3 linked regions of the Diceros bicornis minor genome follow. The protein of the gene in region 3 purifies or fractionates together with the protein of the main gene of each other region. This does not show direct contact. Links are inferred from orthologs where the notes say so. Each region holds a gene or a part of one and is shown on either strand. Other genes may lie near its edges.

Region 1 (9,706 bases), on a different chromosome or scaffold from region 3:
ACCTTATGGGATTTAGTTATTATTCCCGTCTTGTGGAGGCTGAGAGGAAAGTCCCTCATGCAGGTGATTCCAATCAGCACATGGACACAAAGCCCAGGCTCTTAACCGTCCAAACCCCAGGACTCGTCTCCCTCTCTCTGCTGCCCTGTCTCTGTCCACCCCCATCTAGTGTCCACGCTCCTCTGGTGCTCTGCCCACCACCCTGGGGCTCTGTCGGTCCCCTCTCTCTCTAGGATTCTGTCCCCACCCACCTCTGGGTCCCTGTCCCCCTGTCTCTGGGTCTCTGTCACCCTTTCTCTGGGTCCCTGTCCCCTTCTCTCTGGGTCTCTGTCCCCCTCTCCCTGGGTCTCCATCCCCCTCTCTCTGGGTCTCTGTCCCCTCCCCTCCCTGGTTGCTTGCCTTCCCTGTCTCTGCTCCCACTGGCTGGTGCAGACGCCCCTGTGAGTGGAGGATGCCTCTCTGCTCACGAGGCTCTGCCACTTTTCCCCCCAGGAGGGCATCCTGGCCGTTTCACCCGTGGACTTGACCTTGCCCCTGGACTGAGATCTCCCTGAGAAGCTGCTACAAGACTGGACCTCATGTCTCTCTCTCTGTGTGCTTTCCCCAAGCCTTCCTATTCCACTCGGGGCTGTGGGGTGGTGGCTGCTCTCCCTGTTTCTGCCAAAAAGAAATTGTTTAAAATTTTTTCATATTAAAAACTTTTTCAAGTATTTAATTATCCTTTCACTTGAGAACTAAAGTTCTAAGTAGAGGAGATTTGGTTCAGAGAGCTCTCTGGTTTATAAATTGAGGAAAGAGCCAATTCATTTATTCTAGAAATATTTATTTGGAACGCCTACAAGAGCACCTGTCATCTGGATATACACCATATTTGAGGATCTCTGTAAGGATGATTCCAGCTAATTACATTTTTTTCCCTATTGCATGAATTATTTATTCCAGCTAATCCTGTGTTGGTGGTCTGGAGTCTTTCCAGCTAGTTCCAGAAGAAAGCTACAGTCTCCCTTCATGGGGCCTCCAGAACACCACTCTCTTCTCCTTTTTCTCCTCTCACTTTTTCTGAGCTTTTTTTGCTGGTTTCTTGTCATCCACCTGTAGACCGGGTAGGGGCCTAGCCCGCTTCACAGAATTATGTTTGTAAATGCATAAAATGAAATGCACAGGATTACAAAAGAAACCAATTACAGTCAATCCTCATTATTCGCAGATTCCGTATTTGCGAATTCACCTACTCGTGAAAATTTGTTGGTAATCCCCAAATGAATACTCCTGGTGCTTTAGTGGTTGTTGGTGGGCATTCTTGTGGGCAGAGTGGCAGAAGATTTGACCCGCCTGATGTGCACATTCTCTGCTGAGGTCGAGCAAGGTGACACGTGCCTTCCAATTTTTTTTTTTTTTTTTGCTGAGGAAGATTGGCCCTGAGCTAACATCTGTGCCTACCCTCCTCTATTTTTTTGCACGTGGGACGCCGCTACAGCATGGCTTGATGAGCAGTGTGTAGGTTTGTGCCTGGGATCTGAACCTGTGAACCCTGGGTTGCTGCAGCAGAGCATGCAAACTTAACCGCTACACCACTGGGCTGGGCTGGCCCCCCTTAACACGTGCCTTCTTGTTTCAGCTATCATACTATAAACAGGTGTCCTTTTTGCAATCTATTTAGTGCCACGTTTTTCACATTTTTGTGCTTTTTGTGGTGATTTCACTGTTACCACAGCCCCAAGCACAGTCCTGAAGTGCTGGCTAGCACTCCTAAGCACAAGAAGGCTGCGATGTGCCTTATGGAGAAAATATGTGTGTTAGATGAGCTTTGTTCAGGTGTGAGTTACAGTGCTGTTGGCCGAGAGTTCACTGTGAATGAATGAACAATATCTATTAAGTAAGGTGACTTTAAGCAGAAAACACACATAAAATAAGGTTGTTTATTGGTGGGCTGACAAAAGTGTTGGGACCAGAGGCTCACAGGAACCTGACCCTGAATTTTCCTTAGGAACGATGGCTCTGTGTTCACTAAGTCAGTGTTCGCAGCGACTTTTTAGAACATACACCACAAATCATAAGAATCGACCGTATATTGAAATAAAGTTTTCAGTGTTGATATAAAAATGAGTGTATATAATAATAGCCATGCTTCTTCATTAACATCAATTAACAACACCCAGAGAGCGTCTAATAACCATGATTTCTAAGTAGAGCAGGAATGACATTTTGAGGTATATTAGTTATTGCTGTGTAACAAATCCCACAAATTTAGCGGCTTATGATAATACACTTTTTTTGTGTGTGTGTGTAGAAGATCAGCCCTGAGCTAACATCTGTTGCCAATCCTCCTCTTTTTTGCTGAGGAAGACTGGCCCTGGGCTAACATCCGTGCCCATTTTCCTCCACTTTATATGGGACGCCGCCACAGCATGGCCTGACAAGCAGTGCTGCTGTGCGCGCCTGGGATCCAAACCTGGGCCGCCAGCGGAGCACGCACTTAACCGCTTCGCCACAGGGCGGCCCTGAGATTCTTTTTTTTTTTTTAATATAAAGTCCTCAGAATCTGGTGTGTGTCTTGCGCTCGCAACACATCTCGGTTCAGACTTGCCACAGTCCATTGCTCATTGCCCCATGGGGCAAGTGGCTGCCATGTTGGAAAATGCAGAATTTAATGCTGATGATGCCCCCACTTCTGACTCTTGCTCAGATCTCTCCCCTGAACTCTATACCCAGGTATCCCCCTGCCCAATGCCATCCTCTTTTCAATGACATTTGGTTATTCTGTAGTGTTGAAGAGATAGTTTGTATTAATTTTTTGCTCTTCGTAGCAGCACATAGCAAAAGTAATTGATCGGGTCAAAATACTTGGAAATCAGAAAAAAAGGTTAAAAAATGCTGACACGGGGCCAGCCTGGTGGCGCAAGTTGTTGAGTGCACGCGCTCCGCTGCGGCAGCCCGGGGTTCGCCAGTTCGGGTCCCGGGCGCGCACCGACCCACCAGTTGTCAGGCCATGCTGCAGCCAAGCCCCATATAAAGTGGAGGAAGATGGGCACGGGTGTGAGCCCAGGGCCAGTCTTCCTCAGCAAAAAAAGAGGAGGATTGGGAACAGATGTTAGCTCAGGGCCGATCTCCCTCACACTCACAAAAATGCTGAAACATTTGGAAAAATAGCAAAAAAAAAAAAACGGGGGGCCGGCCCGGTGGCGTAATGGTTAAGTGCACACGCTCTGCTGCGGCGGCCCAGGGTGTGCAAGTTCACATCCTGGGCGCGCACCGATGCACCGCTTGTCAAGCCACGCTGTGGCGGCGTCCCATATAAAGTAGAGGAAGATGGGCACGGATGTTAGCCCAGGGCCAGTCTTCCTCAGCAAAAAGAGGAGGATCGGCATCAGATATTAGCTCAGGCCTAGTCTTCCTCACCAAAAAAAAAAAGGCAGTACAGTAGGGGTCAAGATGTGGGCTGTGATAATTGATTAATAGGACTTCATCAAAATTTAGAATCTCTGCTCTTCCAAAGACAACGTTAATAAAATGAAAAGGCAAATCACAGATTGGGAGAAAATATTCCAAGTAGATATATCTGACAGACACTTGTCTCCAGAATCTATAAAGAACGTTTACAATTTCTGAATAAGAAAACAACACTGTAGGGGCTGGCCCGGTGGCTCAAGCGGTTAAGTGTGCGCACTCCACTTCAGCAGCCCGGGGTTTGCGGGTTTGGATCCTGGGTGCACACCGAGACACCGCTTGTCACACCATGCTGTGGTGGCGTCCCATATAAAGTAGAACAAGATGGGCACAGATGTTAGCTCAAGGCCAATCTTCCTCGGCAAAAAAAAAAAAAAAAGAGGATTGGCATAGCATATTAGCTCAGGGCTGATCTTCCTCACACACATACCAAAAAAAAGAAAAAAGAAAACAAAACCGTTTGTAAAAATGGGCAAAAGACTTGAACAAACACTCGATAAAAGAAGATACACACAAGGGCTGGCCCGGTGGCATGGTGGTTAAGTTCGCGCGCTCCGCTTTGCAGCCCGGGGTTCGAGGGTTCGGATCCCAGGTGCAGACCCACACACCACTCATCAAGCCATGCTATGGTGGTATCCCACATACAAAATAAAGGACGATTGGCACAGATGTTAGCTCAGGGCCAATCTTCCTCAAGCAGAAAAAAAAAAAAAGATACAGAAAAATGGCCAACAATCACACAAAAAAGTGCTCAACATTAGTGGTCAGGACAATGCAAAAGAGAACCACGAGATATCGCTTCATACCCACAAGAATGGTTAAAATTCAAGAAAATGGTGGAACACACTGGAAAACTTGGGAGTTTCTTATAAAGTTAAACATACACCTAACCGTAGCATACGACCTAGCCATCTGCTTCTAGGTTTAGCCGAGAGAAATGAAAGTGTGTGTCCACAGAAAGACTTGTAGGTGAACGTTCATAGCCACTTTATTTGTAATAACTCCAATCGGGAAACTACCCAGATGTCCATCAGCAAATTGTGATACAGCCACACGATGGAATACTCCTCAGCAGTAGAAAGGATGGGACAACTGTTGTATGCAACAACATGGCTGAAACTCAAAAGCATTATGCTGAGTGAAAGACAGACACCAAAGAGCACAAAGAGTATAATTCCATTCATATGAAATTTTAGAAAAGGGAAAGCTACACTATAGTGACAGAAAACAGAAAGGGGGAGGTCTTGACTGGAAATGGTCATAAAGGAACTATCTGGCGTGATGGATAGATTCTGCAAGTCGCATTCATCTTCATCCAACTAGTAACTTTCTGCAGGACGAGGAAAGCTTCCTGGAGTAGGCGGCCTCTGAGCTGGGCCCTGACTGACGTATAGGAGTTGGCCAGACGAAGGGAGGCGGGTGTTCCCGGCAATGGGAGGGGCTTGGCAAAGTCCAAGCGGCTTGAGCGGGCTCCCTGGGTTTTAAAAACTTGGGGCAGTTAAATAGAGGGCTAAAGGTTAAATGCCTCAATGCCTGAGGCTTATTCCTGACTTGTCTCGCAAGCCCGGACAAGCCCTCCCTCTCTGGACCTCGCACTGCTTCACATTTCCCCTCGGGTAAATAGGCATACGCTCTCTTGTTCCTCCTGGACTCCCCTAGGGCTGGGAGAATCCACCGAATGGGCGATGAGTGACAGTCCTTCTAACCAATCGCTGAAGCCTAAAACGGTACCTACCTCCTGATGGGCCAATCCCGTGTTCCCCTCGAGGCCGACAGCTTGGCGAGGGCAGGCCAAAGTCCTCGTGACGTCACATTTGGGCTAAGCCAATAGCAGCTATTAAAAGGCGGATCGTTTTGGTGACGGACAGCTCTATTTCAAGATGTCCACTTAGCGCGGGGCCCGCCGGGAAGTTGTGAGGCGGTGCTGGTGGGGGAACGGGCGGGAATTCCTGGTTGACTTTGCCCAATCATCAGTCGCGCTTCTTACGATAGACGGGCAGTCTTTCCCATCCCGGTCGACTTAAGGGGGCGGGGCTCTACACGCCAGACTGGGCGGGCCCCTGAACTTTGACGGGCGTCTTCTTCGTCCAATTGTCAAATGGTATTCCCAGACGGGCCGCCTTCACTGCCAATGAGATCTCCAGGCGGGGTCGCGCTGGGCGGGCCGTGGACCCTCCGGTATAAGACGGTCCCGGGGGAGTGCGGAGAAAGGGGGGGGTTTCGGCGGCCGGAGGAGGAGTAGGTGCGGGTGAAGATGGCGGCAGCGGAGGCCGCGAACTGCATCATGGAGGTGAGCGCCTGGAGCGCCGTCGGGGGCGGGGGCGGTTTGGGGGTCGGTGTTTTATGCCTCCGTCATGGAGAAGGAGCTCCGAATAGACGGATTGGGGCAGAAGGCCCCCAGCCGTACCGAGAGGGCGTCGCATATTCCGGATCCGGGGGTACCTTTTGAAGTTCGGGCTCCCTAGCTTTCGGGGGCCCGCGGCAGCCGGCCGAACCGTGGGTATCGTGCCCCCTCCCACGTGGAGGAGGGCCGGGGGCGCTTCCGGCCTGGCCCCCACGTGGCCGCGGCGCGGTGGGTGGGGAGGGGGTGTGCCGTGCCCGGTGGCCTGGCGGGCTCCACGTGTGGGACAAAGGCCCCGCCCCCGACCGGAGGAGGGGCGCCCGGGGGGGCGGGGAGGAGGCTCCGACCCTCCCTCGGACGCCCCCAGCCCACCTCCCCGGGGATCGTGACATACGCCTCTGGTGGCACTTACCTGGGGTCCTCTGCGAAGTAAAGAGCCTCTTAGGAGGGGCGATGTATCTTGAGCCTCTGCAACCCCCTTTCCGGGAGCGGGGCGTCTGCTTAGGCATCGGTCCAGGTTTCGTGCACTTTGGGGTTGGGGTTGGAGGAAGACTAAGAATTGGCCCCCTTCGGGCCGTCCCGTTTCCTGTTGCTGGATTCTCCCCCGCCCTGCGCTCTGGGAGCTGGGGGGATGGGGTATGCCCCTGTGACCTCCCTCTGGGGGGGCACCTAGCTGAAGGAGATCCTTCTCGATAAGGCTTCGTGCACCCCCTTGTGGCCATTTCTGGGTGTGTGGGAGGGACATCTTTTTCATGGGGCGTGTCCCAAAGCCCACCTCCTGGTTGGAGCCCTCCGGGGCAAGGGGAGGGAGAGTTTGTCTGCTGGGAAGGGGATGTGATGGAATACAGGCTGCGAGCTTAACCCCTTACAGGACCCCTTTCTCCGACGCATTTGTGAGAGTGGGAGATGACCTCCCCCTTCCTGATGTCCTATTTAGGGGTCCTGAGCTTTGATGCATGAAGTGGTTTCCCGTGAGGTTTGGTTCTTGTGCTGCCATGTGGGGCTGGTTGCGGTGCTGGATTTCAAGCCCTCTTGGGGCTCGTCTGGTGGTGGTATTAGTGGTGTTGAGAAATGGGCCCCAGTGGGAAATCCCCTCCCCAGGCTTCCTTACTGGCTTGGAGGATGGGAGTGGGGCTTGGAGCCCAGTGGGTCGTGTCTGTGACTTCACGCTTGGAGGGTGGTCACATCTGGAAGAGATGTAATGTGATGGGGCCTCAGTCACCAAGATGCATACCATTGGGGGGGAGCTCCCAGGGGTCACTCCAGTGTGACCACCCCCCATGGCTCTCTCCTGGACCCGGGCCTGTATCTGGTCGTGGAAGAAATATCTTCCCCAGAGGTTGTCCCCGGACTTGGCCCCACACCTGGGGGGCTTCAGGGCCTTGGATGGGTGTGTGAATGAGGGGAGAGGGGCTTGAGGGGCCAGAGTCTGGCCATCCTCCCTGGGACTACCTTTCTGGGTAGAGGGTAACAAGAGAGGTGATTGGTTCCAGCTGGTTTTGTTCTGGCCTTCCTGAGCCCAACGCAGGAGGTAGAGGCTGGGGTGCCACCTCTGGTGGGGGTGCCACACCTCCTTTCTGGAATCCTCTCATAAGAGACTGGTTTGCAGAGGTGGCAGATGCCCAGTGGGTGCACCTTGCCAGCCCCCCTCCCCCAGCTACTCCTGGCACCCCAGGATGGGGGTGTGTGTCAGGAAATGTCACCTAATCTGGGGGGATTAGATGATGAGGGGGAGTGACAGCTGGCAGTGCCTGTGTGCCCGGCGGGTGCCATTCCTCTGGCCAGGATGGGGGAGGTGTGTATGGTCAGGTGCCTGGCCAGAGAGGGGCAGTGTTGGGGCAGGCCACCATCTCTCCAGCCACAGCTGAGACAGGACCCCTCTCTTCTCCCTCCACTTCTCTCTTTTTAAAAACAGCCCCGCCTCTTTACTTGCTCCCTCTGTCACCACTCCCCACCAAGGAAAAGGAAAATTGCAGGCAACACCCCCCTGCCCCTACGGGCCTGTGTCCTCTGGCCTGGCCTTCCCCTAGCCACCCCCAGTAGCTAATCCTTTCTCCCTGTTACTCTCTCCTAGAATTTTGTAGCCACCTTGGCTAATGGGATGAGCCTCCAGCCGCCTCTTGAAGAAGTAAATATCCTTTTGTGAGACCCTTCCCCACATAAACATGTCTTGCCACACATCAGGCCCTTCCTAGCAGTCTAACCATGATCTCTCTTGCTTCAAACTGTTTACTCCGTACCTCCGAAGCACTTACTCCAAACTCCCTCCAGCTCTGTGGCCCCCAGCTGGCCTCCCCCAATACTGTGGCTACTTCCTTAACTCCATTCCCAGCCCCCCTTTGCCCTTCCCTGTGTCGACCCCAGTTCTGCTTCCCCTCCCCTCTCCAGCTGTGGGCTGAGCTAGAGATGGGGGCAGAGAGACTGGAGAGATGGTAGGCGTGGCTGAGGTATCGGGGTGCTCCCCTGGATGGTGCTTTGGGGGGGGTCCTGGAAAGAGAGAATGGGGTTGTTAGGTTTTGGGGTTCTGGGGGAGGCAAGATGGCAGGCGGGGGCTGTAGGTACGATTTGGGGGGTGTCTATGCTCTTCATAAGTAGGGACCTGGAGGTTTAAGAAGCCGTGGGGAGCCCCCAGTTTTGACCCGCGCTCCCATCCACCCCTCCCAGGTCTCCTGTGGCCAGGCAGAGAGCAGCGAGAAGCCCAATGCTGAGGACATGACTTCCAAAGATTACTACTTTGACTCGTACGCTCACTTCGGCATCCACGAGGTGAGTGTGGACAGTTCCTGAGAATGCTGATTCTTCGTGGGGTTAATGTTTGGCAGGGCTGGACCTGAATTTCCCACGCATGTGCAGTGCCTCCCCTGGCAGCGGGCCGCCCCTTTGCGCATGCGTGGCACACGCTCCGGGGGTCCTTTCGCTCAGCCGTTGCCTTGGAGACCGAGGTGAACCTGGCAGCTCCACGGGGCCGCTCTTGGGAGGCTGGAGTGGGAGCGCGCATGCGTGCCTGCGACTCCAGCCGGAGGGCGGGGCGTGCCGGTCTCTGCCGCCCTCTCGTGACCGGTGGTGGGACTGTCCCCCAGCTGCTCACGCCCGGTGCGCAGACGTGCCTTTTTGCACCCTGTGGAGGCTGAGGTCCCAGAAAGTAGCTGGGATGGGAGTCTGAGGATTTTTTTTTTTTTCACTATGGCCTTTTTGGAATTGTGGTGAAATATACGTAAAATTGACCATTTTCAAGTATACAGTTCAGTGGCATTAAGTTACTGAGGACTTTTGAAAGCCAAGGATTGCTGGGGTTTAGGAGGCAGTGGTGGAATCGGGTTGAGATGGGAGTTTAGTCCGTCCAGTCTGATTTTAAAAATAGGGAAACTGAGGCACCTGGAAGGGAAATGACTTGTTCCGAGGGGACTAAGCAAGTGGGAGGGCTGAGCTCTAGCTCTCCAAACCCAGTGAGTTGGAGGCCAGGGCAGCCCCTGTTCCAGCTGGAAAATGAACCCCCTCATGGTATCCTTGTGCTCCCGCCCCCCCCAGGAGATGCTGAAGGATGAGGTGCGCACCCTCACCTACCGCAACTCCATGTTTCACAACCGGCACCTCTTCAAAGACAAGGTCGTGCTGGATGTGGGCTCGGGGACGGGGATCCTCTGCATGTTTGCTGCCAAGGCCGGGGCCCGCAAGGTCATCGGGGTGAGTGTCCTGGCAGCCGGTCTGGCCTGGCGCTGGGCTTGGGGGTCGGAGAGGGGGCCCCCTCAGGGCTCCGGCACTGGGTGGAGAGGGATGGGGGCTGAAGGGGGGACTGGGGGGGCTCTCACCCTCCCTTCTTCCTGGGCCCCCAGATCGAGTGTTCCAGTATCTCTGATTATGCCGTGAAGATCGTCAAAGCCAACAAGTTAGACCACGGTGAGCCCAGGAAGAGAACGG
Region 2 (9,727 bases), on a different chromosome or scaffold from region 3:
CCCATGTATTTCTTTATTCTTACACTACATATATACGTATCCCTTAGTAATAAAGCATATTGCCTTGCATTCGACCAACAGTGAGACACCAGTTATATGCCAAGTACAACCGATATAGTAATGATTAATCAAGACAGATAGTCCTTGAGACATGGAGTTGCAGGGAAAAATCACCCAATAACCACAAACGTGGTTAAGTGCTACAAAGCAAAAGTACAGACAGTTATGAGAGTACCTGCTGAGGGAGCTGCCTTGCCTGGGGTTAACCTGACCAGGTTTGGGGCAGGCGCAAAGGCCTGCCAGGCACCCGGGACATTCACATTGCCTGGACAAGGCACCCTCTACCTTGGGTAGCTCTATGGATGACTGCATTTCCAACCTCCCCTCCACGTCCTTCCCCAAGTAGTTTCACTTCTCCTTGGCAGAAAGCAAAAAGCCTGTCCTGAACACTACAATCCCAATTCAGTTCACAAGTACTGTCAAGGGAGTCAACTCCCTCATTTCCTAATCAAAGAACTGGTCCTTGCAGTGATTCCAACAGGTAGAGGAGGTAAAGCCACGTGAATCTGCTTACACTGACTTATTTACTCTGAGCAGGAGCCAGACTGAGGGGAACAGGCCTGCAGTACCCTCATAAATTTTCAAACAAACATACATATGAATGTATACAAAAGCAAAAGTCCCTCCTTTTGACTCTGCCTTCCTTCTACCCAGTTACAATCTGAACCACCCCCAGATCAGAGGGGGTGTGTGTGTGTGTGTGTGTGTGTGTGTGCGCGCATGTGTGTAGGTTTGCTGTCCTTGTTTGGCACAGTCCTTCCTCAGAGATAGCCCTAAGGCTAGTTGGTTTTCCTCCAAGTATATGCAAACTATATTTCGCCTCTGTGATCAAAATTATGTAAATACTACAGCTTTCCTTCTCATTATATAATATCTTAGAGACACCAGTTGCTGTTTAATTGACCTATCGATGTTTTCACTGTCTTTGTCCTTATATTCTGATTTTTGGTGCCAGCCTGTTTTTCTTCACATTATTAAGTCTCTGGGTTTCTAAAGTACAATTCACTGTAACATAATTATATACTTTGCGGTCAGTTCTCCTCCTTTCCATTCTATTCATCAGCAGGATATTGCCGACTTTCCTCTCTGACTCTCCACTCAGCTCCATATCTAATAAATACCCCTGTATCTGTCTGAAGAACACAGAGGAATCTATTAAAAAACACGAACCCACCCCTCTAACTCTTGCTCAAGGAATTTGGTCTCAATTTTAGTGTATACCTACTCCCTCCCCTCCAGCCTATGAAGGCTTTTTCCTCTTTATGTTTGTCAAAAGCAACCCCAATCACCTGTTCTTCAGGAAAGAAGAAAGACTTGTTTGTGTTCCCCAGCAGGAACCAGGAATCTAAAGAAAATTACATCCCTGTGCCTTTCAATCTACTGAAATATCTCGGAATTTTCTCTTTGGACGGAGAACCAGTTACCTCATATGTGGCTACGTCCCCACAGACAATCTCTCTTCTCAACTGGCATCCATCTTGAAGTGGAACTCAGTACTCCATGGCATCTTAATGGCACCTCCATTAAACAAACACCCTCTACTAAGCACTAATGAGCATTACTGCTTTTATTGAAGGTAAAATCATTACCTTATTGGCTCCTCCCCCACATCCCCCATGCAAAGCTTTTTGACTTTATTTGGCTTCTCGGATTTTGCACTCCCATACCCATCATTTAATACTGTCTTTAAATTTATTTATATGCAACAGACCAAAGAGCCTTCAGCTACTATGATCCCTTGACTTAGAAGTCTGCTAAAGAATTATAACAATTTTTTCATCACCAAAAATATTTTTCTTGTCCCGCCCTAATTAGAAAGGTCCATTTGCTGAGGCAAAGGGCAGGGTGGATTTATCCTGTGTTCCAAAAAATAAGTGCCAAGCATTTGTGTATGTGAGTGTAGTATTTGTCACACCTTGTTAATTATAAACCCCCTCTTCTCATTTAGAGTCTTTAACATGCATTAACACTGTTAATCTCTAGGACTGTGAGTCATTCTGTCTCTTTAATAAATTCTGTTTCATCCCTAGTGAGCTGACTGTGTAGTCTGAACTCTTTTCTTCCTCAGCTTGCTTGTGTGCCGTGTGTTGAGGGGAGGAAGTGAACAGCTGCCCCCATTATCTAAAAAGAGATCAGAAAGAATATCGTTTTCCTTGGGTTAATCAAGTGATTAATGCCTCTAAGTGCCAGAGTACAGGAGATCACTTCCCTAAGGTTCCAAGGCAGGGAGGAGGCAGAAGTGGACCTTGAGTTTTTCTATTTGCATGCACTGAGAGGGATTAACAAAAATCACAGAAATTGTGGGGGGGGGGAAGTGGGTGAAGAATAGAGAATAGAGATTTGCCAAAGCAGGAGGGTGGTAAGAGGTTGGGGCCAGAATTTGGAAGGCCTTAAATGTCAGACTGTGGAGCTACAGTTTGGTCTTTAGGTCACGGGAGCCACAGAAAGTTTTTAAGCAAGAGACACAGAATAGCAAAATTGAAAAACACTCAGTGAGGGTGGGATTCTTCTATGTCTCTCTAATACAGAAGTCACTAACACACACATTCAGAGTCAATAACTAACACTCTGGGCCTGAATGTCTACCTGGCAACAACTGGCTGGACAATGAGGCACCCACTTGAGAAGGAGCATGGCTCTCCAGCGCCCTCAGGCCCTACTTGGTCTGGGTTCACCTTTTAAAATTAGTGGTCTTCAAATATTCCCCCCTAAGAAAATTCTGAAAACATATTTTAGGTTCTGGATGTACCACAGTTTATCCATTCACCTATTGAAGGACATCTTGGTTGCTTCCAAGTTTGGGCAATTATGAATAAAACTGCTACAAACATTCTTGTGCAGGTTTTTGTGTGGAAATAAGTTGTCAAATCTTTTGGGAAATCTCAAGGAGTGTGATTGCTGGATTGCATAGTACGGTAAGGTATGGTTAGATTTTCCAAAAAAAGGATGAATTGAGCAAAGTATATTTTCATTTTCACCAACGGTCTTGGCTGTTACTAATGAAATTCCTAGGTTCTCCAACCTCCCTAATGAAACTGTTTCTCTGTGTTTAGAAAAAATGTAATAAGCTTCAACCATCTTCAGCAGGAAAACAGAGATTAGATCAAGAATGAGAATGCATACTATGGATTTACTTTATAATCAGAAACTTGTCTGCCAGAGGAAGACTCAAAGTTCCCTTTTTCTGGAAGGCAGGATTAATCAAATAATGACAACTATATAATTACATACTGTGAAAAGCTTTATGAAGACAAAGGAGCTATGAGTTGCTGTAAGACAGGGACATGATCTAGTAGCAAAATATGAATTATTTCCCCCTGGCAAAATGTAGGGAGGGTTTCAGTGGACTTACCTTACTTTATAAATTATTTATTGTTATATAGAGAGCCTCAGATTTAATTACTTAGCATATATGATAAATAGGCAAACCAGTCCAAATAACTCCCTCAGTTCCTGTACAGTCTAAAACACAGTAGGAGCTTAATTGTTGGCCAACTCCTACAAGATTCATCCTTGACACTTCTTTCTTTCCTATCCCACCCATCAGCAAATCATTGGCTCAATTTTCAATCAGACCATTTCTCCTTTACTGGTTGCTGTTAACCCAAACCAAGCCCCATCATCTCTTGCCTGGATTACTGCACTAGCCTCCCAATTAATCTGCCTGCTTCTGCCCTAGCTCACTCTCAATTTAATTCTCCACACTGTAGTCGTAGAGGTCCTTTTATTATGTCAGTCTGCTTAAAACCTTCTAGAGATTTCCAATTTACTGAAAGGAAAATACAAAGTCCTTACATTGGCCTACAAGCCCTTCTTATTTCTGGCCTTCTCCCATCTTTCCTCCTACCTCTACTCCAGCCACATTCTGCCACAGGGCCTTTGCACTTGCTCTTTCCGCTATGTAAACAAGGCTAGCTCCTTCACTTGAGGTCTCTGCTCAGATGTCACTTGATCAGGGAGGCCTTCCTATGACACCCTGTTTAACACTATGTAACAGGCATACTTCCCTCCCACGCAGGCACACATACACTCTCTGTCCCTTTTCTCTGCTTTACTTTTCTTTCTTTTTATCTTAGTTAGCAACTGCCTAACATAAACATTTATTGTCTATCTCCCCCACTAGAGCGTAAACTCCACGAGTGCAGGAACTCATTTGTTCACTGCTGTGCCCCAGTTCCCAGCCCACTGCTCCATCCCTTAGGCCGTCAACACTTGTCCAATGAATCCCACGGCCCATCTGCCTCTTTCGGCCCAAGAGACATCTGAACAGCCTGTCCTGAAGCTCTACTCCCTATGCTACTTTTGCAGTAATTTGGGAAACAGAACAGAGCGGAAGACACCACTTGGCCCCCACGACGAGGGGCCTCAAGTGTCCCCCCTTCTATCCATCTGTAGAAATAAATAAAAGAGATGTCAAACGAGCGCTCTCCAAGGGCCCTCGCGGCTCGAGGATTCCGTGAGGCCACCTAGCCACGCCTGTGGGACTTCACAGTGCAGTGGGAGGGGAAGCAGCAGGCGCGGAGAAGAGCCAGCTTCGACGAACTGAGAGAGAACGCGGCCTAGCCTGCTCACAAACACGTCCTCAGGCCTTCACCTTTTCTGAGGCCCACCGCTTGGACGCCTCCGCTTCGGGAGAGCGCTAAGGGCCTCCACGGGCCTCCTGAGGCAGCGCCGGCTAATGGCGGCCAAAGGACCGCGGCGGCCACCGTAAGTGGGGCTTCACCCACATTTTGGTTCTTTGTTAGCCAACTGTGCTCAGCCGAGGACAGGGTAAACATTCTGTTCAGAAAATGCACTTCTGTGTGAACCAACTGCAGCAAAGAGTGCTTTAACTCAGCGGGGACGTCGCCGCCTGACCAACTCCCGAAAGAACCGACATGGCGCATCCATCATGGCTGCCGGCGACAGCGCGCCGGGAGGCAACTGAAAGGAAATGGCGCCGGGCGCGCGGTCAGTTTCGGCAGGCCCAGGGCGGCGGGGCCGAAGAGCCGGCAAGGCCATGGAGGAGCGCCAGCCAGAGACCCTGAAGACCCTCCTGGACTTTCGGCACCTGGAGACCCTGAAACTTGACGACGGCAAGATGGACGACAGTTATTGTCTATGCAAACAAACTTGCACAAGCGGACCCGGATTCCGGCCCGCGGTCGGAACCCGGCAAAATCCTCTATTCTCCAAACAGAATGCGTTACGCACACTGCGCATCTTCGCAATAGTGGGCCGGCTAACGACGCAAAGAATGTTACGTCGCACCGGAGGCTCTTCACCGCCCCCCCACCCACCACCACGTTCTAGTTCAGGTGGCGCGAGAACTCTACGCTCGATCCGTACTTTGTTTTACTTCTGCCGGCCGCAAAATGCGCCCACCTCCGCAACTGACGTAAAATGCCTTCAAGAATACCCGTAGTACTCCGCGAAGCCCTCGGACTGTTCCGAGACGCTGTTTACGTATCGCCTCCGACGTACGTAGCGTTAAGCTGGAGCAGTCTCAGCGCCGGCCGCCATTTTGTGCAGTCGCTGGGAGGGAAGGAGACGCCTAAACCGCGGCAGTGCCGGGTTTGAGCGTAGCCAAACCTAGCCACTGTTTTTATAACCCCGATTCTCTGTGTTTTGCTCCCGTCTCCGACGAGAGAGGCGGCGACGGTGGCGTCTGCGACGGGAGACAGCGCGTCGGAGCGAGAGAGCGCCGCGCCTGCCGCCGCCCCAACAGCGGAGGCGCCGCCGCCATCGGTCGTCACCAGACCGGAGCCGCAGGCCCTCCCGAGCCCGGCCATCCGTGCCCCGCTCCCAGATCTCTATCCATTTGGGACCATGCGCGGAGGCGGCTTTGGGGACCGGGACCGGGATCGTGACCGTGGAGGGTAAGGGGGGAGGAGAGGAGAGGCTCCGCGTGTGCGTGGGGCGCGGGGGGCTGCTTCCTGAGGAGACCGCAGCCTGCAGCCGAGCCGGAGGCTTTGAGCGCCTGCAGGCCTGGGAGCGACGCTCTCGACTCCGCAGGCGGGGCCACCCGAGGCATAATAGCGGGGTCGAGCGCGGGCCTCGGGGTGGGCCTGGGCCCCAGGGTCGCTGATGACCTGGCGGGGGGCGGCGGCTTGGCGACGCCCCGGCCCCTCCTTGCGGACGGCCGTCGTGGCGCGGCCCCGCGGGAGCGGGAGGGGGTGACCGCCGCACCCCCGGCCCGGCCCTTGCCTCGGTTCCGGCCGAGCCGCTTGATTCCCCAGGCCTCGGCGTTCATCTGGAGCACGGGGGTTCGCGGTGAGAGAAGAGCGTGGGGTCTCCGCGGTCGGCCTAGGCAATCTGAACGCGAAATGGCCTCCCTGGTGTTATCTGTCGCCCGAGATAGCTGTGCCTGGAATTGGAAACCTGGTTTGCAACTAGAGACCAGAAGGCTGACTTGTGGTTTTAAAAGTATTTTCTATCACTTTTAGTCGTATTTTAACAAATTAGAAGCAAGCATCTTGGAAAGTAAACAGTGAAATTATTTGCCATCTAAATTTGGGGAGAGGGGTTTTTTTGGTTTGGTCGTTAGTGTAGGTTGTTTTTTTTGTTTTTTTTTTTTAACCTTTCAGTCTTTTGTTTCCCTAATTGGACTGGAGCATTATCTTCTCAGCCTAACTAGAAAGTGTTTCGTTTAGTAATGCCGTGGTTACTGGGTTGGATGTTAACAGGATTAAAACTGAAGTTCTCTCAGATCCTGAGATTCAAATCTTAATGTCGGGTTAGACGAAAAAGTTGCTTAAGAGATCCATGTTGATTTGTGCTGTTACTTTTTTGTAATAAAAGTTGTATCTCTAGATAAAAAGTAATGTGATGCCGTTTGAATATATATGTAACCTCAGGCAAGATCCTGAACCTTTGTGTGCCTATTTTCTCATCTGAAGGTGGGGATAATAATTGCCCTTACTTTGCATTGTTGTGGGGAATTGAGATACGGTGTGTAATTGTCTTTCTGTAGTAGGTGTTCTTTAATATTTTCTCCAAACATTTTTGGTTTTGGGGGTTCAGATACACAAGTACCAGACCTTGTAGTCACAGGCACCTCACCTTCACTTAATTTAAAAAATAAAAAAGATTGTTTTGAATTATACCTTGTTAGGAAGGAAAATGTTTGATCTTAATGTTAAATTTGGAGGGCTAGAAGTGGAATGTTTGCTTAGTGTTTCACAGTAATAGCTAAGTTTAGAAGTGAATTTCAGTATAAACGCTTAGGAAAAAGAACTTAACATTATCTGATAGAGGTGAAAATGACCCAGTAATTCCTCTCTCAAGCTTTGTACTCTAGACTGTAAGGCCTAGAGAAACCCATGTACACGTGCTCCGATGTCTGTGTGCAAAATAATGTTTATACCCCATTGTTCATGATAGAATATTGGTAACAGCTTAAATGTCTGGACAAATTGTGGATATTTGTACAGTAGAATACAATACAGCGGTGAAAAAGAAAAAAAACTTGTATCAGTGTGGGTGACTCACAAACATAATATTGAGCAAAACAAGTTGTGGTAGAAGCATAACGTGTATAAGGATACCTACAAATATGACAAGACTATGAGAAGCAAGGGAATGGTTAAAATTTCAAGATAGTTATGGTGGGGGTTGTAAATGGAATAGGCACATGGAGGCTACCAGGGTACTGGTAATGTTCTGTGTCTTTAACCATAGGTGTTTGGTTCATTTCACTGTATGTATACTTTAATAATAAAAATAAATTAGAAAAGGGGAAAAAGTGAATTACTGATCCATAGTTTGTCCCATATTGATTCTTTGAGTATCAAATGATGTTTAAAAAAAAAAAAGCTTTAAAAATAATTCATTTCAAACAAAGTGGCACTCTTTCATAAGGTCTGTGCTCTAACTACCTTTATCATGAAATTTCCTTTATGGTTTGAGTTGCTGTTGTTTCATTCTTAACTGAATGTTCTTAAGTGAAGTGGACTATTATTTTGAAAAGAGAATGAGTGAGGTCACTATATGTACACTTACAGTCCAAAAATGGTGTGCATTGTACCTTTAAACTAGCGTGATTTTGCATGTTAATATATAAATCTTCAAAGTTGCATTTTATTTTTTTATTGAAATATAATTGACATTAGTTTCAGGTGTATAATATTATGATTGAATATTTGTATACATTGAGAAGCGATCGCCACAGTAACTGTAGTTACCATTCGTTACTATACAAAGTTATAAAACTTTTTTCTTGTGAAGAGAACTTTTAAAATCTACTCAGCTTTTTCGAATATACAATACGATATTATTGACTGTAGTCACCATGCTGTACATTACATCCCCATGACTTATTTCAAAGCTGCATTTATGGCATAGTCAAACTTAATTCTTGATAAAAACAGTTAATGAGCAGCATAGTGTGCCAGGGATTAGGATATGTGCATCTTTAAAGGATGGCACAGATGTGCTCAAAAATTCTACAAGAGTAAAAGGCTCTCTTGAATATTGAAGGCAGCATTAATCGTAAAGGTAGAAGACAGCATATTTATAAAGACCCCCATGTTTCAAATTATATCTTTATAATAGAGTAGGAAGATATGTCTTGGACAGTTAGCCAAGACAATAGAGAGAAAGGAAAAACATTTTTTTTCTTTTAAATAGAGGCTTTGAATAAGCCTTAAAAGGAACCTTACTTTAAGAAGTTTAATTCGTTTACGGTCTGGGTAGGATTGGAGTGCAGCAGCATTTAAATGGCACCCTCTAGGAACCATATAAATTTATATAAACTAGGCTGACAATCTCTAAAAATTGGTCTTTGGTTTGATATATGTATCCCTATGCAATATCCTTTTCCTGTTTTGATTCCTCATTTCTCTTACCAATTTAGCAGTAGTATAAATAGAATCCACCAAATTTTGCCTATTGAATGTAAATACTCAATGGTCCCAAGAAAATTTCCTGCCATAAATCTTTGTATGTCTGTATTTAAAGAAATATCTAGCTGAGTCTTTAAGCCAAAGAGTTTAAGAACGCTTTGAATTCCAGGAGATTGAGGCCCTTTAAAATAGTACAACTACTGCCTGTCAATTATAAAGTGGAACCATCTGCCGAATGATGTTACGAGTGGGTTAGAGTGGAAGAGGAAAATTAAATTCAGTATAGTGTTTTCAAGAGTAAGGAAATGGTTTAAAAACGTGCTGTATACTATTTGTACACCAAACAATGCCCTGTACTTTAATGGGTTGCAGTATGGAAATGAAGACCATCTTAGTGCTAGGCTAGGAAAAGTAGAACATTTCAAGTGTGACTAGTGGCCATATTTGTATTCCAATTGAACTTGTCTGTTGTGAAAGTTAGATAAAGCAAAAAGACTCATTTTAAATCTGAGTTTTAAAAACTTTGAGACATTAATGGGTTTTTTGGGTAAATTTATAGTTAAATTAAGAGTGCTGTTTGCCTGGGAACAGAAAGATATAAGGTCAAGGTGGAGATGAAGAGGAAGGACAGGTCATAAATCTTTGTTCTGGCTGTTCTCCATTAGTATGAGCTAAAGTTGAAGACTAGCTTACCAGTCTTTTGGGGGTCCTCATAGTTGTCCTTAGCAGATTAGTGGACGAAAAGAGTGCTCTCAGTATAAAGGGGTAAGAGATGCAAGAAGTTCCAAGTATGGGGTAACTTGCTTGAAGTATGTTTTTCTGCCTGTCCGCAATCTTGCCTTCAA
Region 3 (10,032 bases):
ACCGGGAGATCAGATGGATGCCCCCACCCGGAGACCAGCCCCCTATATAACTAGCCTGTAGTCTTTGTTCTGTAAGATGGTTCTTTCTGACATGAGTTGGCCATCTTCCCTCTTGCTAGCAAGCTGTAATAAGAAGTCCTTTTTCTCCTACCACCTTGCTTGCCTCTTGACTATTGGCATGTCTTGCGATGGGCAGACGAACGCCCTTTCTGGGCGGTAACATTTCCAATTGACTAATCCTCTTTTCTGCTATGTACAATCTACTAGTAAACTCATTAATTGAGTTTTGAATTTCAGTTATTGTATTTTCACTTCTAAAGTTTCTATTTGATTTTTTCATTTATTCCAGCTCTCTGTAAAATATCTCCAATGTTTTCATCTATTTTCTTGAACATATTAATCATAATTCTTATAAAGTCTGATCAGTTCAATGTCTCAATCATTTATGGGTCTTTTTCTGTTATATTTTTTTCCTCTTGGTTTTCAGTCATTTGGCCTGTCTCCTGGCTTGCCTGGAGATTTTTTTAAATGAATGTGGGAGATTCTATAGATAAATTGAGAGGTTGTAGATCATTTTATCTTCCTTTTCTGGCAGGAAGAGTAAGGTAGAGCACTTTGATCCAATCAGGAAATGAGATGATTCAAGGCTGGGGTTCATTTTCCTGACTTTGTCCTTCTCCTTAGAATGTAGCTCTCAGGCCGGCCCCGTGGCTTAGCGGTTAAGTGCGTGCGCTCCGCTGCTGGCAGCGTGGGTTCGGATCCCGGGCGCGCACCGATGTGCTGCTTCTCTGGCCATGCTGAGGCCGCGTCCCACATACAGCAACTAGAAGGATGTGCAGCTATGACATACAACTATCTACTGGGGCTTGGGGGAATGAATGAATGAATGAATGAATGAATGAATGAATAAATAAATAAATAAATAAATAAATAAAATTATAGAATGTAGCTCTGCCGGGAGGAGGGGGGCGGGCGGGTCTCGGCTGAAAGCCTGCAGTGTTTGCCACTCCTCTCTTCCTTGGTGGACTCCAGGTTTGTCTCTCCAGTACCATGAGACTGCTGAGAGCTCTGCTTTTCAGCCTCTCAGCCGTTGTTTTCTACTTGGCGTCTTGATCTCTTGGCCCAGGCAACTTGGGAATCAGCAAATGCTTCTGTCGGGGGAAGAGGGAGAATCTCCCTCTGCCCTTTCCCTTAAGGTTCTTCTGGCTGGCCAAATAATCAACAAGACAGGTTAGCAGGAGAAAATAATACCAAGTTTAATAACATGTATACATGGGAGAAAGCAGGGACACGCGTTTCTCAACACAATAGCAGAAATTCTCATCTTAAATACCATCTTCTTCTAAAGACAAAGGAGGATGTTGGGGGTGGGGGGTGTCAGTTACAGGAGATTACCACTAAAGCACTGTAAACAAAGGTAAGGTTATTATGCAGATTTAAGACCTCACCTTCCACATTGATAAGTTTCTAGAAATGAGGTCATCCCCCCTCTTCCCAAGACAGAAAGGGAGATACCTTTACAAATGGAGATTTCCCTTATAAATGTAAATGTTTGTCTGGCAACTCCTCGCAGGGCCATCCAGAGAATGTGGCCAGAGAGACAGAATTTCTGATAAGATGGGCTTGTTGGTGCCTTTCCTATTGTAACATCTATTTTACATTATATTACAGCCATCAGATGGAAGATCTGTTCCAGGAAGGAGCCACCATGTCAAATTCTTTAGGCAGTTAGTGGGGGAGGTCAAATGTCCTTCAGAGAAAACAATCAAGGTAAAGAGATATATTTCAGGGTGGCCAAATTTTGATCTCCCACACTTCCAAGTGAGAAGTGACACAAAATCTCTGCTGCTGCTGCTTCCTCAGGATTTTGGCCCCTCACATATATTAGCTTCCTTGATTGCTTTCTAATGCTTCAAACAGCTGTTTTCTTTTGATTTTTTTCTTCCTTCAGAGTGTTTGATAAAAGCTGCTCTATCACGGAAGTCTCTAAGAGCAATCTCCATGAGAAAAGGATCTCATCTGTCTTGTTTAGGGCTGTTTCCTCTAGAACAGTGCCTAGTACAAAAAAAATGCTTTCAATAAATATTTCTTTTAGTTAATGTAAGTAGGAATTAGACCATATGTCTGTCCTTGACATCCTTATCATTTACAATCTTCCACATCTATCTGAGGGAGTCTAGAATTGTTGAATCTCCTTTTTTAAATAATTCCTCAGTCCCATTCCTCTCCCCCTGTGATAGACATCCATTCTGATGTGTTTAATGTGATCTTTTACAATTTTTTATGCAAAATATGTATTGCTGTTTTTTATTTATATAAATGCTGTTATATAACTTATTTTGTTCCTTATTCTTTTCATTTATCCCTGTGCCTTTAAGGTTTGTGTATATCTAATTCATTTCTTCTGCTGCATTGGATTCCATGGTTAACATCCACTACATTTTATCTGTCTAGGGAGGAGCACCCAAATTGCTGCTCCCTGCCAACTCAAGCAATGCTGTAATAAACATATCTTACTGTTCTTTTTTGGACTTACATGAGAATTTCTTTGATATAGATCTCAATAATATATATATAGGTGTATATATATATCTCCAAGAGCAGACTTGTTTGATTTTACCCACCCAAACAATTTGTTTGACTAGTATCAGATTTCTCTCCAGAATGGCTGTACCAGTCTACTTTTTTACCAGCTGCGTGTGGTGAATCTTATATCCCCACATCACCACCAACATTTGACATTATTCACTTTTCTAATTTTTGCCAATCTAATGGGCATGTGGTGATATCTGACTGCTGTTTTAAATGCATTTCTCTTGTTACTAATGCTTTTGAGCACCTTGAATATGCTTAGTGACCTTTTGGTTTCCCTCTTCTGAAAATTGCTGCTTCGTGGCCTTTGCCCATTTTTCTGTGAGGATTGCTACATTTTTCTTGTTGATTTGAAGGAGTTCCTTGAATAGTTTAGAATAGTTAATCATCTCTTGACAACCTTAAACATCATGAACATCTTCCCCAACTCTTTCAACTATCTATTAACTTCATTCATGGTGTCTTTTATTGAGCTGATAGCCTTAATTTTTTTGTTTTTGTTTTTTTATCACGAAGATCAGCCCTGTGCTAACATCTGCCAATCCTCCTGTTTTTTTTGCTGAGGAAGACTGACCCTGGGCTAACATCCATGCCCATCTTCCTCCACTTTATATGGGACGCCGCCACAGCATGGCTTGCGAAGCCGTGCGTCGGTGCACGCCTGGGATCCGAACTGGTGAACCCTGGGCCACCGCAGCGGAGCGCACGCACTTAACGGCTTGTGCCACCAGGCCGGCCCCTAGCCTTAATTTTAATATAATCCATGCCTTTAGTTTTTTGCCTTACAGTTTGTACCTTTGAACTTTCCTTTAAGGGGATATTTTTTATAGATATTTCCCGTCATCCTGTCTGACATCCAGGTTCCGTGGATGCGCTGGTAAGAGCACCAGAAGAGTCTGGCCCACAGGATCACTTGGACTGGATACCTTCCTGGGATGCAAAGAGCACCCACCTTCTCTCTGTCTCTAAATTCTACCTTTCTCTCTACCCTGAAATTTCACTTCTTTTGTCTTTTTTATATCTTCTTAATGTAAACCTACCAATTTTAACCTAATTCATTCTGGGTTTGGAAGTGGAAAGAATGTAATGGTTCAAGAAGAATCCTGACTACGTGGACTTCAGCCTATTCAGCAGCGTAGGCAGCTTCCTAAGAGTCTGAAGTCAAGCCATCCAAGCTGTCAGGAAGTCTCTGTGAACCTTTTTTAAAAAGGAAAAGCTTCATCCCTGCCTGGGTACAACACTGTATATGCTAGTACAAGAGCAATGAAGGGCGCAAGTGTCATTGGTGTTCACAAGCCGCTGAGTGGGCTCAAACGTCACCAGCACTGGCCTCCTCAAGACATCATGACCTTGCTTACAGCCTAGTTCTGGCATCAGGTTTTCTTAATCCATTCCTCCTCTCCAACTCTTTGTGTATTTGAGAAACAGAGGAAGAGTGATGAGTCAAAACATCCTCTTCCATTTCTCATCATCCATTTCAACCATAAGTGTCGGTTATAACCATCCCATCCTCCTTGCCAGAAACTTGGCCTCAGTCTGTTGGATTGGCAGAAGTAAGAAATGATATGAGAAACTTTGCCAGTTTTTTTCCACATACAATCTACAGATTAAGATATATCTTTATAACCTTTATTTTCTACCAAACTCAGGAACTAAGTCATTTCTAGCCAAGAAGGTAAATGTGAAATGTTAAGTAACCCATTTGAAACAGACCTTTCATTATTTGATCTTTATGAGTGATCTGTAGCCTCAGTTCCACATTCTCAGGTAGGAAGAATGTTACTTATTTCCTTACCAAGCTTAAAAAAATTCCCACACTGCTCTGTCTTGCTTTACTAACCTCTGTAGTTTTCTAGATAGTCATATACTAGGAACAGTTAATAGTTGGATTGAAATCTGTCAACTTTCTGTATTTCTGGAGCATGTTTTGAAGCTTCATCTGCAAATGTTAAGGAAGATCTTAGAGGTGCTAGTTGCCTGGGGCAACCTACAAAGGTAATGCCAATTCCCTGGGGACTCTAGGTCTCAGGTGCAAGGCCTAAATTAAGAACCAAATCGGGCCAGCCTGGTGGCCCAAGCAGTTAAGTGCTCGCCCTCTGCTGTGGGGGGCCCGGGGTTCGCTGGTTTGGATCCCAGGTGTGCACCAACGCACCACCTGGCAAGCCATGCTGTGGCGGCCTCCCATATAAAGTGGAGGAAGATGGGCACGGATGTTAGCCCAGGGCCAGTCTTCCTCAGCAAAACAAAAAAGAGGAGGATTGGCAGATGTTAGCACAGGGCTGATCTTCCTAACACACAAAAAAGAACCAAATCAATAATAAAATTTTCCTTAATCCTTGGAAGGTAAAGATCCACCTCTGAATATTTTATTTACACTTAATATGCTGACACTTTTGCTGTGTTCATTACCTACTACAAAACACTTGCAATCCATTTATGCTAGTTGAGTGTCTCTTATCATAAATAACTCAGGTATCTGCTGCTTTGATTCCCCTGGTGGGTACGAAATAAATAAAAGATAAAGGTCTTTCCCTCAAATGATTTTACTCTTAATTGAAGAGAGCAAACACATAAAGAAAATAAAAGAATGGGTAAATTATAAACTGTTTGATTGTAAGAGCAACCAAGTTAAAGGGATTGATTACTGTGAGCAAGAGTTAAGAAAAAACGTAATGAAAGAGGTGAAAAATAAGGATGGATAGTATGATGGGCCCACATAATGGGACAACCAGTATCTGGAACAAACCCAACTTGAACTATTTTGTATTGTTGCCTTCATGGGAAGAACTAGAGTTAAAAAATTTAACAGTGACTGCTATATAATAGTTAAGGATACAAAGTATTCCAAAGACTCTGAAGACAAAAAGCTATCCAATTTAAGCAAAAACAGCCCTGCAGGTTTTACCCATTTATTAAACTAGTTTTTCCCAGGCACTTAGGATGTGCCAAGCACTGCGGTGAGTGGCCCGAGCTAGCCAGTCAGGGTTCCTGCCTTCACTGAGCTTATTTCTCTTTCAGGAGACTTTCGCGTTGGAGTATCTCAGTCACTACAATAACAATACCTATTGAACGCCAATCATGTGCCACGTCTTGCGCTAAGGCCCCTTCATATGCCGACTCATTTAATCATCTCAACAACCCTGTGAAGATAGCACCTAAGATTTCCAGTTCTGGCTTCAAAGGACCTCATCTACCAGAGGCCCCCTTAAGCGAAACATTTTGCAGCATCAAAATGCTACAGGTCCCCAACTCCCCAAAATGTTTAAAGGCAGCTAGCGCACTACAAGAAGAAGCGGGACTGGGGCGCGGCGGGCTAAGCTCCGCGGATCTCCCAGGCGACGGGACGCTACCCGCGGCGAGGTTGCTGCGGCCCCGCCCCTCCCTCCGGGCGCCCTCTGGCCCAGCCTCGCGCTCTGCGCATGCGTACGTGCACTGACCCCGCCCCTCTGGCGCCGCCGTCGGAGCCATTTCGCTGCCGCTTCCATGCAAGTTGCGGTGCGCGTGCTGGGTGTTGGTGAGGAAGGCCGGCGTCACGGGCGGTCGTGAGAGAGCTGTGTTCTCCGGCACCAGGAAGCGGAGGTCGGTAGGAGAAAGACGTCTTTGCCACCCGTTGGGGCGGCGTGGAGCCTCGCGGCTCTGCAGCCGGGCTTTGTTGCGGAGCGCGGGCGGCGGCGGCGGGTGGGGGAAGGGGGAGCCGCCCCGCCGGGTGCCCGGATTGCGGGTCGTGTGCTGCTCGCCGCGCCGCCGGGGGCCGCGTTGTGGCCCCCAGTCCTTCGCCCGGCGATTCCCAGTCCTGTCTCCGAAGCAGCCCGACCCTACTTCCTCCTCCGGCCAGCGCGCGGCGGTGGCGCTGTCGCCGTCGCCGCTGAGTGAAAGGGGGTGAATGGTCTGGTGGTGAGCCCGCCGTGACGCCGACGCGCCCAGAGCCCTTCATTCATTCATTCAGGCCGTAAATACTGGGCGCTGCCCCGCAGGCGCTGTGGGAAGAGCAGTGCACACGTTAGGCGGGGGCCCTGCCCTTCCCTCGCCGAGGTTGTGGTCGTGGTGGGGGTGGGGGCTGTAGGAGAACAAATGTCTGCAGGTTTCGGTGAAGAGAGAGGAATTACGGCGTGTAAAGGGAGAGAGCTACTTTAGGTGGGATGGAAAGGGAAGGCGTTTTGGAAGAGGTCGACCTTTGAGCTGGTATCTCGGCCTTGAGACCGAGAATGGCGTCAGCCGTAAAGATGCGGAGGAAAAGCTGAACTGCAGGGGCAGAAGGGATTAGTTAGCGCTTAAAGGCAGGGATTGGAAAGAAGCTGAAAGAAGGCCATGTGACTGGAGTGTGGTGAGGATTTAAGAGAAGAACGGATTTTAGGGTGGCTAGAGTAGAAACGGGGGCGTCATTTAGGACGTGATTGCAGTACTCCGGTGTGCAGTAGCGGTGGCAGGGGAGATGGAGAGAAGCGAATGGATTAGAGACATGTTTTGGAGGCAGAATTGCGTAGTAGATCAGGAGTCGGATTATCTGGTTTGGAATTCTGGGTCCCCCACTTAGAGCTCTGTCTTTTGGGCAAGTTATTCTTTGTCTCAGTTTACCTATCTGTAAAAAGGGGATGATAATAATGCGTATCTATACAGTTGTTGTAAGGGTTAAGTAAAATAGTTCATGTAGATGATCCTCAGGATTCTTACTGTCTGGTACACAGAAAGGGCTCCACAAGGGATAGCTATGGAGGATCTTGAAGGAGTGGATGACTCCCAGATTGTGACGTGAGTGGATGGTGGTGCCATTTAAGGAGATGGGAACACTGGGATTAGGGGGAGGAGGAAGAGGTTTGGGAGGAATTTTAAAATTCTGTTTTGACTGAGATGCCAAATTAGCATTCAACTGGGTATGTTAGTGCTGCAGTTGGATGAACTTGATTTTTTAAAAAATGTTTTTGCTGAGGAAGATAAGCCGTGAGCTAACATCTGTTGCCAGTCTTCCTTTTTTTGTTTTTGTTTTTGTTTTATTTTGGTGAAGAAGATTGGCCCTGAGCTAACATCTGTTGCCAGTCTTCCTCTTTTTGCTTGAGGAAGATTGTCCCTGAACTAACATCTGTGCCAGTCTTCCTCTGTTTTGTATATGGGACACTACCACAGTAGGTCCACGCCAGGGACCTGAACCACTGAACTATGCCATGGGCCGGCGCCTAGATAAACTTGATTTTGAAATTTGAAGAGAAAAGACTGAATTTTCAATATATATCAGTTTGGGCATCATTAGCATATACTTGATACTGAATATTACAGAGTTAGATGAAACTACCTAGGGAGGAAGGAATTAGATAGTGTAGTCCTTCATATTTCATGTTACTCATTCACCCTGAGGGCTTGTTTTTTGAATTAATTATTCAGGAGTGGAGTTTATAGATAGACATCTTCAGCTTTCCGTAGCTTTTCAGTTAATAGGATGTCCCCAGGATTAGCCTCTGGCTGCAGAATAAACTTATTAACAAGTTTATGCTAGGGTCCAGTTTGATGACATTAGACTTTGGTGCTAACAAAATACACTAAACATTAACAGAAGACCAAAGTTTAATGTTAGTAATGGGATTTCTTCTCACAGCAAACCAAATTCATAGCATATTTTCATTGGTTCTAAATTTGGTCTCAGGTATCTTGTAAATTAGACTCAGATTTTAGATTCATAGGCACCATGTCTTTTGGTATCTTATAAACTGGAGTAGAGGGAGAGTGCCAACTTGGCACTCTGAATTTGAATTTAGGCCTCCACAAGTGAGTGACTGGGAAAAGTTACTTAAACTTTCTATGCCCTAGTTTCTACCTCTGTAAAAGATGATGATAGTATCTACCATGTAATGTTGTCTTCCATCGTTGTGAGAATTAAGTGAATTAAGACACGTAAGATGCTTATTGTAAAAAAAAAAAAAAAAAAAATATGGGGGAGTACATTACGTCAAATATTTTTTAAGAAAAGATAAAAATCACTCATAGTCACCCAAAGATAACCATTTTGGGGCATATTTCTTTCCAGTCTTGATTTATGCATATATACTTGTTACATAGTTCAGATCTTACAGTTTTGTAGCCTGCTCCTTCTTGTAATGTGTCATGAACTTTCCAATCATGTCTTTAAAGTTTCCTCATAGGTGATTTTAATAGCAGCATGATAGAATATCCTGTACTTAACCTGGATTTTCAGTAAATCTCACTTATTGTTTATTTCCAGATTGGTAATTTCCAATATTTGCTCTTATAAATAATGCTGTTTTTAACTATTGTTTTCTTAGGTCTGAAGAAGATATTTGAAACATGGGTGATGTTAAAAATTTTCTGTATGCCTGGTGTGGCAAAAGGAAGATGACCCCATCCTATGAAATTAGAGCAGTGGGGAACAAAAACAGGCAGAAATTCATGTGTGAGGTACTAAAGAATACAGTTTACATTTATGTGATTTTTGAGGCTTATTTTGGTGTTAAAAGAACAGTGTTTTCTATTTGGAAATGTTAATGCGTTGCATGTTGGAGAATGTTCTTTATTGTGACTTGCCTGCTATTCTGGTTCATTATAAATCATTTTCATGTGAGCATTACTTTTAGAACAGTCTGAGAGGTGGATTATTCTAATTAGAACATGCATCTTCCTCAACTTCTATGATACCAGTAGTGCATGGTAGAAAAGTTGGATCAGCTGTTTGCTGTTTTACTAACTCCTGTAGAAAGTGGAGCAATTCTTGATTGCTTCAAGTCAAAGTGTTTAAAATAAATACAGATGGAGAGCTTGTTCTTGGATCTTATAAAATTCAATTTTAATGTGGAACATTCTGTTACATGAGAAGAGACTATCTGAGCCACATAAGTTAATGCTCTTGTTTTTGGATTAGTTTATCAATGGACAACACAACTCAAGCATTTTCATAAGAAAGCCCATGAATTCTCCTAGGTGTGTTATTTTCAGCCTGTTTATAGTCTGTCTCCAACAGTTAACTGTTATCCCTTAATGGACTGTTGAATTATGAAGTTTTTAAATCCCAGGATTACCCAGATCGATCTCTTAATACATGTTTTTCATGACTGTTAAAGGTTCGAGTGGAAGGATATAATTACACTGGCATGGGCAATTCCACCAATAAAAAAGATGCACAGAGCAATGCTGCCAGAGACTTTGTTAACTATTTGGTTCGAATAAATGAAGTAAAGAGTGAAGAAGTCCCAGCTGTTGGGGTAAGTACTTATGACCAAGAACTTGAGATGTATGTTATAAAGTTATGCCAACCCACTATGTATGGAGACCCAGGGTAATAATTTTTCAATGTTGTTATCAAATATATTAATGTGTTGCTTAGTGAACCTTGGCATCTTGTTTTCTCGGAGCCCTAGGATGAGTTCCTGAAGCTGTGGATTTCATTCTTATAATGTAGTGGACTTGTAGGCTTGGGAAATACCTTTAATCTGTGTG

Evidence for each region. Proteins that work in one complex are often made in the same cells at the same time.
Region 1: the proteins of DHX9 (region 3) and PRMT1 purify together in Homo sapiens (affinity purification with mass spectrometry; 3 studies listed by BioGRID and IntAct, with this or other methods). This does not show direct contact. The link is inferred for Diceros bicornis minor from reciprocal best matches to the Homo sapiens genes DHX9 and PRMT1.
Region 2: the proteins of DHX9 (region 3) and DDX17 fractionate together in Homo sapiens (co-fractionation; 3 studies listed by BioGRID and IntAct, with this or other methods). This does not show direct contact. The link is inferred for Diceros bicornis minor from reciprocal best matches to the Homo sapiens genes DHX9 and DDX17.

What each region holds. Positions count from the first base shown.
Region 1 is NC_080773.1:25,061,400-25,071,105, forward strand, and holds the start of PRMT1 (protein arginine N-methyltransferase 1), read left to right. Parts: upstream 1-5,686; 5' UTR 5,687-5,701; coding exon 5,702-5,737; intron 5,738-7,862; coding exon 7,863-7,916; intron 7,917-8,127; exon of another isoform or gene 8,128-8,217; coding exon of another isoform or gene 8,218-8,235; intron 8,236-8,452; coding exon 8,453-8,554; intron 8,555-9,316; coding exon 9,317-9,472; intron 9,473-9,621; coding exon 9,622-9,685; intron 9,686-9,706. Other genes in the region: BCL2L12 (bcl-2-like protein 12), read left to right, coding at 493-543. UniProt on the Homo sapiens protein: Arginine methyltransferase that methylates (mono and asymmetric dimethylation) the guanidino nitrogens of arginyl residues present in proteins such as ESR1, histone H2, H3 and H4, FMR1, ILF3, HNRNPA1, HNRNPD, NFATC2IP, SUPT5H, TAF15, EWS, HABP4, SERBP1, RBM15, FOXO1, CHTOP, MAP3K5/ASK1, MICU1 and NPRL2.
Region 2 is NC_080764.1:11,436,955-11,446,681, forward strand, and holds the start of DDX17 (probable ATP-dependent RNA helicase DDX17), read left to right. Parts: upstream 1-5,707; 5' UTR 5,708-5,868; coding exon 5,869-5,918; intron 5,919-9,727. UniProt on the Homo sapiens protein: As an RNA helicase, unwinds RNA and alters RNA structures through ATP binding and hydrolysis.
Region 3 is NC_080743.1:84,570,712-84,580,743, reverse strand, and holds the start of DHX9 (ATP-dependent RNA helicase A), read left to right. Parts: upstream 1-6,065; 5' UTR 6,066-6,171; intron 6,172-8,864; 5' UTR 8,865-8,886; coding exon 8,887-8,997; intron 8,998-9,656; coding exon 9,657-9,797; intron 9,798-10,032. UniProt on the Homo sapiens protein: Multifunctional ATP-dependent nucleic acid helicase that unwinds DNA and RNA in a 3' to 5' direction and that plays important roles in many processes, such as DNA replication, transcriptional activation, post-transcriptional RNA regulation, mRNA translation and RNA-mediated gene silencing.